Linked DNA regions of Mus musculus. The protein of the gene in region 1 interacts with the protein of each later gene in a pairwise test. Links are inferred from orthologs where the notes say so. Each region holds a gene or a part of one and is shown in the gene's direction. Other genes may lie near its edges. The genes, in order: Sirpa, Ccdc57 and Nol3.

The links.
Region 2: the proteins of Sirpa (region 1) and Ccdc57 interact in a two-hybrid assay, tested with the Homo sapiens proteins (2 studies listed by BioGRID). The two-hybrid records come from large-scale screens. The link is inferred for Mus musculus from reciprocal best matches to the Homo sapiens genes SIRPA and CCDC57.
Region 3: the proteins of Sirpa (region 1) and Nol3 interact in a two-hybrid assay, tested with the Homo sapiens proteins (2 studies listed by BioGRID and IntAct). The two-hybrid records come from large-scale screens. The link is inferred for Mus musculus from reciprocal best matches to the Homo sapiens genes SIRPA and NOL3.

Annotation. Positions count from the first base shown.
Region 1 is NC_000068.7:129,613,206-129,616,858, forward strand, and holds part of Sirpa (tyrosine-protein phosphatase non-receptor type substrate 1 isoform 1 precursor), read left to right. Parts: intron 1-2,241; coding exon 2,242-2,559; intron 2,560-3,017; coding exon 3,018-3,353; intron 3,354-3,653. UniProt on the Homo sapiens protein: Immunoglobulin-like cell surface receptor for CD47. Acts as docking protein and induces translocation of PTPN6, PTPN11 and other binding partners from the cytosol to the plasma membrane.
Region 2 is NC_000077.6:120,919,301-120,922,953, reverse strand, and holds part of Ccdc57 (coiled-coil domain-containing protein 57), read left to right. Parts: intron 1-1,019; 5' UTR 1,020-1,027; coding exon 1,028-1,434; intron 1,435-3,372; coding exon 3,373-3,481; intron 3,482-3,653. UniProt on the Homo sapiens protein: Pleiotropic regulator of centriole duplication, mitosis, and ciliogenesis. Critical interface between centrosome and microtubule-mediated cellular processes. Centriole duplication protein required for recruitment of CEP63, CEP152, and PLK4 to the centrosome.
Region 3 is NC_000074.6:105,279,366-105,282,511, forward strand, and holds the end of Nol3 (nucleolar protein 3), read left to right. Parts: intron 1-50; coding exon 51-410; intron 411-529; coding exon 530-537; 3' UTR 538-2,574; downstream 2,575-3,146. Other genes in the region: 4931428F04Rik (uncharacterized protein KIAA0895-like), read right to left, coding at 2,615-2,779.

The DNA of each region.
Region 1 (3,653 bases):
GACACAGCTGGAGTTATCACAGAGAAAGGAGCTTCAGTTGAGGAAATGCCTCCATGAGATCCAACTGTAAGGCATTTTCTCAATTAGTGATCAAGAGGAAAGGCCCCTTGTGGGTGGGACCATCTCTGGGCTGGTTGTCTTGGGTTCTATAAGAGAGCAGGCTGAGCAAGCCAGTAAAGAACATCCCTCCATGGCCTCTGCATCAGCTCCTGCTTTCTGACCTGCTTGAGTTCCAGTCCTGCATCCTTTGGTGATCAACAGCAGTATGGAAATGTAAGCCGAATAAACCCTTTCTTCCCCAACTTGTTTCTTGGTCCTGAGGTTTGTGCAGGAATAGAAACCCTGACTAAGACAAATGGTCAGTGTTCTTAACCACTGGGCCATCTCTCCAGGCCCCAGAAGATAAATATTTTTTAAGTACTAAATTAGTTATCTCAGTGGAAGAGTTGAAACCCACCCACTATGCTTTTGGCTAGTCCCACTCTCCTCTGAGCCTTGTCCTACAGAAGGAGTTCACCCTAACTACCCCATCATGGGCACAGAGAGAGCAGCCAGTGCCAGGCTCTAAGAACTCAATAGATGGTGACTTCAGCTTTTTCCTGGTATCTGTAGGATACCCAAATCCAAAGATGCTTAAGGCCCTCATCCAGGATGGGGGAGATTTGCGTGTAACCTACACACATCCTGCCATCTATTTTAAATCATCTCTGGGTTTCTTATAATACTTAATACGATGCAAATGCTATGTAAATAGTTGTTCTATGTGTTGTTTAGGGAATAGTGACAAGAAAAAGTCTGTTACTATTCAGTACAGATGCAGCTTTTTCAACAATATTTTACATTTGCAGTTGGGTTAGATTTAAGCACAGGGAGTCCCCAGGGCCTGACGGATGGCTCTTCACTGCTGCTGGTGTCCTGATGACTTGACTTCTTCAAGTGACACCTCCTTTCTGTGCCCTCGACATATTAGGCGGATATTAGGGAGCAAGTATGTGTTGGCAGATGGAAACGTGTTGTGTTTGCTGTCTGGAAGTGATGCTGGTTGCTTATGAGCAGTTTGGATTAATCCCCAAGGGACACTGCCTCCCTCCTAGTCACCCATGAGTCCATTCAGGACCAGAAGAAGCGTGTCTGCTTGCTTGGTGGGGCTGCTCGCTGCTGTCTCTTTACTAATTAGAAATCAAGAGCCACCTTTGGCTTTCTTAACATAGAAGTGATCTTTGTTTCCAACTCTATAAACAAAAGCTCTCCAGATTGAAAGCAAAAATTCCCTTTAGCCTCTCTCTTTCAAATATGGGACTTGGCCTGGGAAAAGCCTACTAGGTTGTAGAGAGAGAAGAGGAAAACCCACGTAGTGAATTCCCAAGTTCTTACAGGGAGGATGTAAGAATAAAGTGTAGGGCTGGAGAGAGGCTCACTGATTGAGGAGCTTGTACTGCGCTTACCAAGGATCTTAGTTCAATTCCCAGCACCCACGCGGCTGGGTGACTCACAACCGCCTGCGACCACAGCTCCAGGGGATCCAGTGTCCTCTCTGCTCTCTTAAGGAACTCACTCATATACACAGACACATTAAAAATTTTTTTAAATAAATATCCAGGTCAAGGTCAGATCTGTGTGTCTTGTTGAGGAGCATCTCTGTGTGTCTGTCAGTCATCTGAAGCAGGAAGCCTCCAGGGCCTCATCTCTTCCTCACCGCGTCCAGAGAGCAGAAACCTTGCCTCCCATTTCATATGCGTGGCTCTGGGCAGTGTAAACATCTCAGAGCAGCCACTGGGATCCTACAGTGTTATTTGTTTCCTGTGTTTACTTCTGCAAACACTTTTCTCTAAGTTGGCAGAGTTTCCAGGAATGCAGTTAAAAGTAGTTAAAGAATGAGATAGGTCAGCAATCTTGGAAATCCCTGAAGCAGAGAAGATTTAGACCTCGGGCCTGGAGTTCCTGGCCTTGCCTTACTGCCTGACTGACCCCTCCATTTCATGAAACCTCTGCATCCTCCCCAGATAGAAGGCTAAGGACATGGTCATTCCAGCTTCATCAGGAGGGAGATTAATGAATAGTGTCACCAGTCTAGAGACGCCATACGGTTTAGTAGTAGAATATGCACTGAGTGTGCATAAAGCCCTGGGGCCAATCCCCCATGTTCCAGTGTGATGACAGTATCTAGGCAGACGACTTACACCACCAGTTCATTTGCTTGGCCATCACAATCATATTTCTTGTCTATAAATGCTCCTTTAGCCAAACCTTCTCCACCGGAGGTATCCGGCCCAGCAGACAGGGGCATACCTGACCAGAAAGTGAACTTCACCTGCAAGTCTCATGGCTTCTCTCCCCGGAATATCACCCTGAAGTGGTTCAAAGATGGGCAAGAACTCCACCCCTTGGAGACCACCGTGAACCCTAGTGGAAAGAATGTCTCCTACAACATCTCCAGCACAGTCAGGGTGGTACTAAACTCCATGGATGTTAATTCTAAGGTCATCTGCGAGGTAGCCCACATCACCTTGGATAGAAGCCCTCTTCGTGGGATTGCTAACCTGTCTAACTTCATCCGAGGTAGATGTCCTTGACTTCTAGCCCAAGTTCACAGCAGCCATTACCCTATGACTAGCACCATGCTGGTAGTTGCATTTCAATGGCAACTATAATTCCTGGGTACCCAGTGTGAGCCACGCCCCCTTTGCCTGGTAGTTTTCATTTATTTTGTTTTAGGTACTGCATGCATTGACATCATTCATTATCACCATACCAGTAGCTACCAGTTCCCAGACAAGGCACCGTTTGTATTCTGGGTACTGTGCTTAATGCTACCAGTTCCCAGACAAGGCACCGTTTGTGTTCTGGGTGCTGTGCTTAGTGATTCCATTTGTATGAGACCCACACTGCCTGAGTACGCAATGCATGCCTAGTAGTCTTGTTTGTTTGCTGTGATGGTGGGAGAGGCTCAGCTCTGCAGCCCCTCCCTGGGATCACAGTGCAGCTTAAGGTTAGAGCTTTTGCCTGTACTGTTTCAGTTTCACCCACCGTGAAGGTCACCCAACAGTCCCCGACGTCAATGAACCAGGTGAACCTCACCTGCCGGGCTGAGAGGTTCTACCCCGAGGATCTCCAGCTGATCTGGCTGGAGAATGGAAACGTATCACGGAATGACACGCCCAAGAATCTCACAAAGAACACGGATGGGACCTATAATTACACAAGCTTGTTCCTGGTGAACTCATCTGCTCATAGAGAGGACGTGGTGTTCACGTGCCAGGTGAAGCACGACCAACAGCCAGCGATCACCCGAAACCATACCGTGCTGGGATTTGCCCACTCGAGTGATCAAGGGAGCATGCAAACCTTCCCTGGTGAGGCCTCCACTCCCGCTGATTGGTCTTTTTTTCTTTTTCCTTTTTTTTTTTTTTTTTGAATCTTTATCATGATTTTATCTGTTTTTCAATGTTAAAGTTATTATATCATGCTTATTATAGAGAAGTCTAGAAGTTTATAAGCATAAACACAGTTTTAAAATGGGAACTGCTTCTCCAGCATTTGTGCTCCTAGATTCAGCACTGGTAAGAGTTTGGCTCCTGTCTGGATAGGTCTGATGACACAGTGTATCAGAGAGGAGGAAAGGGAGACGGAGTCTGTCTTTGCTTGCCTCCTGC
Region 2 (3,653 bases), on another chromosome or scaffold:
GCAGAAGCCTCTATGTGCCTGGCAGAGGCTGTTGGAAGACAGTCAGAGAGGAGCTCTGGTGCCTCCCCTGCGCACACTTGGCTCCTGTGCCTCGGTGATGGTGCTCAGCATTATTAACCTTATGTCCTTCCTTGTGAGCAGCCATGGGCTCACTCTATAAATAAAGCCAGGAGCCCCAAGTGAAATGGCTCTGTGTACAGAAAAGAGCCCCTTTTATGGTGAGGACTGGCAGCCAGGCTTCCCTAGAACCAGTAACAGTCTGTAGTGTGCCTTGATAAGAAACAGTCTCTTCCAGTGTGCTTGCGGCCACTGCAGTTCCTGGAGGCCCACTCTTCACTCCTCCAAGTTGCTTTTAAAGACTTATTTTCTATTTGGCAAAGTAGTTTTATAATGTTGGATCTAATTTTTTAAAAATTAAGACTTTAGCCAGACATAGTGGTACATATCTATTACTGTAGCTATTCAGGAGGCTAAAATAGAGGACTGAGTTCAAGGATATCCTGGGCAACTTAGTAAGACTCCATCTCAAGAACCTCTGCACTTGTATAGTGTATCTTGTTTTTAAAATTTATTTGTATAACTGAACAGTGGTGGTTCTTGCCTTTAATCCCAGCATGTGGGAGGCAGAGTCAGGTAGATCTCTGTTAGTTCAAGAGTGAATTCCAGGACAGCCAAGCTAGACAGAGAAGCCCTGCCTCAAAAAACAAAAATACACACACACACACACACACACACACACACATACACACATACATACACGTACACATGCACACAAACACACACACATACACACATACATACATACACACATACACACATACACATACATACACACACACATACATACACACATACATGTACACATGCACACAAACACACACACATACACATATACACATATATACATACACATACATATATATATATACATACACACTCATGTGCATACACACATGCACACGCATGCTCACAAGTCAAAGTCTCTAATGGTATGCTACTTGTGTCCTTCTTTGCTGCAGCCATCACCATGCTGCCGCTATGTTCAGAGCGGGAACTGAATGAGCTTTTGGCTCGAAAGGAGGAGGAATGGCGAGTCCTCCAGGCCCACCGTGCGCAGCTGCAGGAGGCAGCTCTACAGGCTGCTCAGAACCGCCTGGAGGAGACACAGGGGAAGCTGCAACGCCTACAGGAGGACTTTGTTTACAACCTTCAGGTGCTGGAAGAGCGGGACCGGGAGCTGGAGCGCTATGATGTTGAGTTCACCCAGGCCCGCCAGCGGGAGGAGGCCCAACAAGCAGAGGCCAGTGAGCTCAAGATAGAGGTGGCCAAGCTGAAACAAGACCTCACCAGGGAGGCCAGGCGAGTGGGGGAGCTGCAGCATCAGCATCAGCTAATGCTGCAGGAGCATCGCTTGGAGTTGGAGCGCGTCCACAGGTGCGTTACCCTTACAGGTCATTGTGTCTGGTGCCCAGTGAGTGATGTGCATGCGTCGGTGGCTGCTCAGCGCCACTGGATGCTCAGTGGTACTGATGAGTTTTTCCGTAGGTCTCAGTCCAAGATTTTTTGTTTTTGCTGTTTTGTTTTTTACATAAGATCTCACTGGCTGCCCTGGAACTTACTTTGTAGACCAGGCTGACCACAAATTCAGAGATACACCTGTTTCTTCCTCCTGAAATGCTGGGACTAAAGGCACCACTATCCCAGCATGACAGATGTTATCTGCTGGCATTCTTACCTTTGGAGTTTGATGGAAGCTACTGGTCTGCTAAGTTTTAGCAATCATTCCGTGAGTTTCACCTAACATACAGAGATGTTGTGTCAGACATGGAGGTCTTTTTTTTTTTTTTTGGTTTTTGGTTTTTGTTTTTTGTTTTTTTTCGAGACAGGGTTTCTCTGTATAGTCCTGGCTGTCCTGGAACTCACTCTGTAGACCAGGCTGGGCCTCAAACTCAGAAATCAGCCTGCCTCTGCCTCCTGAGTGCTGGGATTAAAGGCGTGCGCCACCACACCCAGTCGTGGAGGTCTTTAGTAAATGTTCTGCAGCACCTGTGACCCAGTCGGGAAGTGCTGCTCAGCCACCGTCTGGAGCATCCTCAGCACAGACTCATGTAGCTCGCACTTGGAAGCTGAAGCTGCTTTATGTGATTTTGTGACTCTTTCCTTTTTCTCCAAATCTGAGACCTTCCGGTCACTCGGACGCTTTGTCAGTCGCCACTTGTAACTACCCCAAATCCTCAGGGCTCCATTTGTTTGTTTGAAACAGAGTTTTTCTGTGTAGCCCAGGCTGTCCTGGAATTCACTCTGTAGACCAGACTGGCCTCAGACTTAGAAATCTGCTGGGGCTGAAGGTGTGCGCCACCAATGCCCGGCCCCATTCCTTTATCTTTTATTTTTAGTTCATTTTTTCTCCATTCAGTCATGTGATATCTAATGTCTGTATCAAGTTCACCAATTCCCTCCTTTGCCATATTCAGTATGACATCATACTCAGGATGTGAGACTTTTATTTAGGTTATTGTAGTTTTTAAATCTTTTTTATTGTTGTTGTTTTGAGATAGAGTCTCACTACGTAGACCTGGCTGGCCTTGAACTCACAGAGATCTGCCTGCCTCTGCTTCTCTGCCTCTCTACCTCTCTGCCTCTTTGCCACTCTGCCTCTGGCTCCCAAGTGCTGGGATTCTGATTAAAGGGGTAGTGACGTGGTACTATTTGTACTTTAGTTATCAAGTTTTTATTTGATTTGTTGTTGTATCTCTTCTTTGCTGAGATTCCCTGTGTTTCCCTTGGGTTTTCTAAATATTGGCATCTTTCAGTTATTAACCCCTCCATTTCATAATTATATAGTCCTGACTGGCCTGGAATTCACTATGTACAGTAGGTTGGCTTTGAACACAGAGATCAGCCTGTTTGCCTCCTAAGTGCTGGGATTAAAGGTGTGTACCACCATGCCTGGCCCTTCTCTTGATTCTTTTTTTTTTTTTTTCTGGTTTTTTGAGACAGGGTTTCTCCGTGTAGCTCTGGCTGTCCTGGAACTTACTCTGTAGACCAGGCTGGCCCCGAACTCAGAAATCTACCTGCCTCTGCTTCCCAAGTGCTGGGATTAAAGGCGTGCGCCACCACACCCGGCTTCTTTCTCTTGATTCTTGTTTGTCAACACAATTCTATGTTCTGTTTTCTCCTGTGCTGTTGGCAGCTTTGTTTAGGGGTGGCAGGCAGGTTCAGGTCAGGCAGAAGTCCTACTTCTTAGAGGCCCGATGCATGCACCCCTGCAAATGCCATGTCCCAGCTCCATGGGTGAGGTGCTCCCGCTGTGTGTACAGGCAGTGAGCATTCAGTAGATGGCTCTCTCAACACCCTGTCTGCTTACCACAGTGACAAGAACAGCGAACTGGCCCACCAGCGGGAACAGAATGAGCGCCTGGAGTGGGAACTGGAGCGAAAACTGAAGGAACTCGATGGTGAACTTGCTCTGCAGAGACAGGTAGAACATCGCTGGGGTTGGTTCTTTGGGGCACTCCTTGCCAACTGGTTTGAAATCTACATGGTGAGAGGTTCACTGAGTGCTCTCCCAGGAGGAGTGGATCCTTGGGCTGATCTATGTGTAGGGCTTGGTTGAATGCTGTGAGAGGTGTCCAGATCTCCCAATGTATTCT
Region 3 (3,146 bases), on another chromosome or scaffold:
TAACCACAGAGGGGTGAACTGAACCTCAAGTACTCCCTCTTCCTTCCCAGGCTACCGGAACCGCAGCTATGACCCTTCATGCCCAGGCCACTGGACGCCAGAAGCACCCAGTTCAGGGACCACATGTCCTGAGCTGCCAAGAGCGTCAGAGCAAGAGGAGGTCGGAGGTCCTGAGGGCTCTGAGGCACTGCAGCCTCGAACTCCAGAGGAGCCAGAACTAGAAGCTGAAGCTACTGAAGGGGATGAGCCAGACCTGGAACAAGAAATGAATCCAGAACAAGAGCCGGAGCCGGAGCCCGAGCCAGAACCCGAACCCGAGCCCGAGCCGGAACCCGAGCCCGAGCCAGAACCCGAGCCCGAGCCGGAACCCGAACCCGAGCCCGACTTCCAAGAAGAGGATGAATCTGAAGGTTGTGAGAGCGCCTAAACCCTTGCTTGCAGGCTTGTTACGGGTTGTGGACTGCAAAGTGTGTGTGTGTGGGGGGGGGGGGTTGATCCCTATTCCACTAACCATCATTTTCATCTCCAGATTCCTGAAGGCCAGAATCCTTAGCTGTCCAATCCTATTTGTGCTGGATAAGACCTGGAAACCTGCCAGAGCTTGACCCCATCGATGCACCGAGACACCTACTGCCAAATGAATAAACTCAGGAGGGTCAGTCTGTTCCTGACTCTCCACAAGTCTGGCTCTTTGCTCAAGAACTGAGGGTGAGCGTGGGTCTGAATCCCACTGACCTGAGCAGGCTTGTGTGAAAATACCCCCATCCCCTCAAAAACATTCCACTTCCCAAAGAGCCCAAGCTGTAATTCTGGAGATCTCAGATGCAGGCCCCCAAATCTGACCCTCCCTCACCCACTTTATTCCCCTCAGGGGCCATTTGGGAGGCCGAGTGGGCAACACTTCTAATCCATGGAAATCACTCGGCTTGGTGTACCAAGCAAGTGAAGGGGGATGTCCATCCACACATGGAGAGAAGTCTTGGCGCTCACAGTCTTGCAGGGAGGACCTGAGAGGAAACTTGAGTAGACAGAAGCCACACACATCATTGTAACTGCTGTTTAATTGTCTGGCTTTCCTCTGAACTGGGAGCTCAGTGAGGGGCGTGGGGTCTAACCAGTCACAGACATACACAAGGAGCTCTGCACATATCTACTAAGTAAATGAATACAAACTTCCCAGCTGTGTTTCCAAGCTTCACAGATGGAAACATTAACTGAAAAGCCAGGGTTAGGACAGTACTAGCTCACTCTCCCACCGCTGAATCTGAAGTGAAATGAAAGCCTTAACCAGCTCTGTACTAATCCTGGCCTGAACGTGGGATAACAAACCCTAGGGCCTGCCCTGTAGGTTTGATTGTGGTTGCTCCCGCCTGTCCTAACCACTGCCAGAGACCAGCTGTGAGGCTGTGGTTAAAGACAGGCACAACCAAGACTAACATGGGGACTGAGGGTGGGACCAGGTGCTGGACTCACAAGACACAAGACACAGTGTGTCTGTGTGAGTGATAAGAAAGGGGGTCTAGGGGGCTGGAGAGATGGCTCAGTGGTTAAGAGCACTGACTGCTTTCCCAGAGGTCCTGAGTTCTACTCCCAGCAACCACATGGCGGCTCACAACCATCTGTAATGGAATCTGATGCCCTCTTCTAGTGTGTCTGAAGACAGCTACAGTGTACTCGTATACATAAAATAAATAAGTCTTTGAAAGAAAAGAAGGAAGGAAGGAAGGAAGGAAGGAAGGAAGGAAGGAAGAGAGAGAGAGAGAGGGAGAGGGAGGGAGGGAGGAAGGAAGGAAGGAAGGAAGGAAGGAAGGAAGGAAGGAAGAGGGAGAGAGGGAGGAAGGAAGGAAGGAAGAGGGAGAGAGGGAGAGGGAAGGAAGGAAGGAAGGAAGGAAGGAAGGAAGGAAGGAAGGAAAGAAGGAAGGAAGGAAGGAAGGAAGGAAGGGGTCTAGGAACATACGGTACTTTTCCAAAGGATCCTGCCCCTACATGGAACTACTACTACTACTACTACTACTACTACTACTACTACTACTACTACTTCCGGGCCCCGCCTGGAGGCATGAAATGACCCCATGAGGGCGACTATGGAACAATGCATGACCAGTGAGACAGACAGAATGCTGAAAGGCAAAGCCCAGCCCAGCTGGGTCTCTGAGCCTGAGTGACAGCCGGAACCCCATGCTCAGGCAAATCACCTCAGAGGGGTTCCCAACTCCTGCTGGCCCCAGTGAGAGGTAGAGGTATGAGTGTAGAAGGAGCACCAATCGGCCAGGTAGGGGGAAGGGAAGGAGTGGTACCAGACACCCAAAGCCATCTCATGCAGGAACAAGTTTCTATTCCCAAACCAACCCACATTTCTATTCACACTCAGCTCCCATCTCATCGCCCTCCCATCTCCCCTGCTCAGGAGTTTATGTGACATGCTGCTGCAGTTCACAGGCCCCAGGAAGGGTAGCAAGGACAAAAACCTTCTAACGTTGCTTCTCATCTGCCCACGATGCTCCTGGCCTCCCAAATGCCCCCAAGAAACACCTAGGCTATGGAACCATAAAGAACTTCATATTCCGATCTGTGACCTCTGTCAAGAGCGTCTGTCTATAACCCTTAGTCAACATCAGTCAGGCAGCAGGCGGCCCAGCTCCGCTTCATCCAGCCGGTTGGTGGTCATGATGTGTTCCAGCTGCTGCCGGTAACGTTCCAAGTCCTTCATGAAGTGGGGCACTCTGGTATTGTCTAGCACCCCGTAGGGCCGCAGTTGTTCCACGTCTTCATAGGAGACCTATAGGAAGCAAACTGAGCCTCAGAGCTAATCAAAGTGCCTGGCTTTCAAGTCCAGGATCTACCCATGGCTCAGGGCCATTTGCTCCTGAGATGATTGTGTATATTCTTCATCGACTCCTACAATAGATACCTTCAGGCTCTGCCCTGGATCTTCTATCTTTCTCTCTCTATCTTTTATCTACGTTGTACAACCCATTCCTCTCCAGCCCACCTTATCTCCTCACCTCTAAATGGTATCCAACTGATACCTGGGTCTCTCTCTCGGGTTATCTCCCACATCCAACAGGAGACTGTTGAATGTCAGCTGTCTGTCCTCCCCTCTGCATAGTCACCACAATCAGGTCCAAGAAAGGCCGACTAGGTTC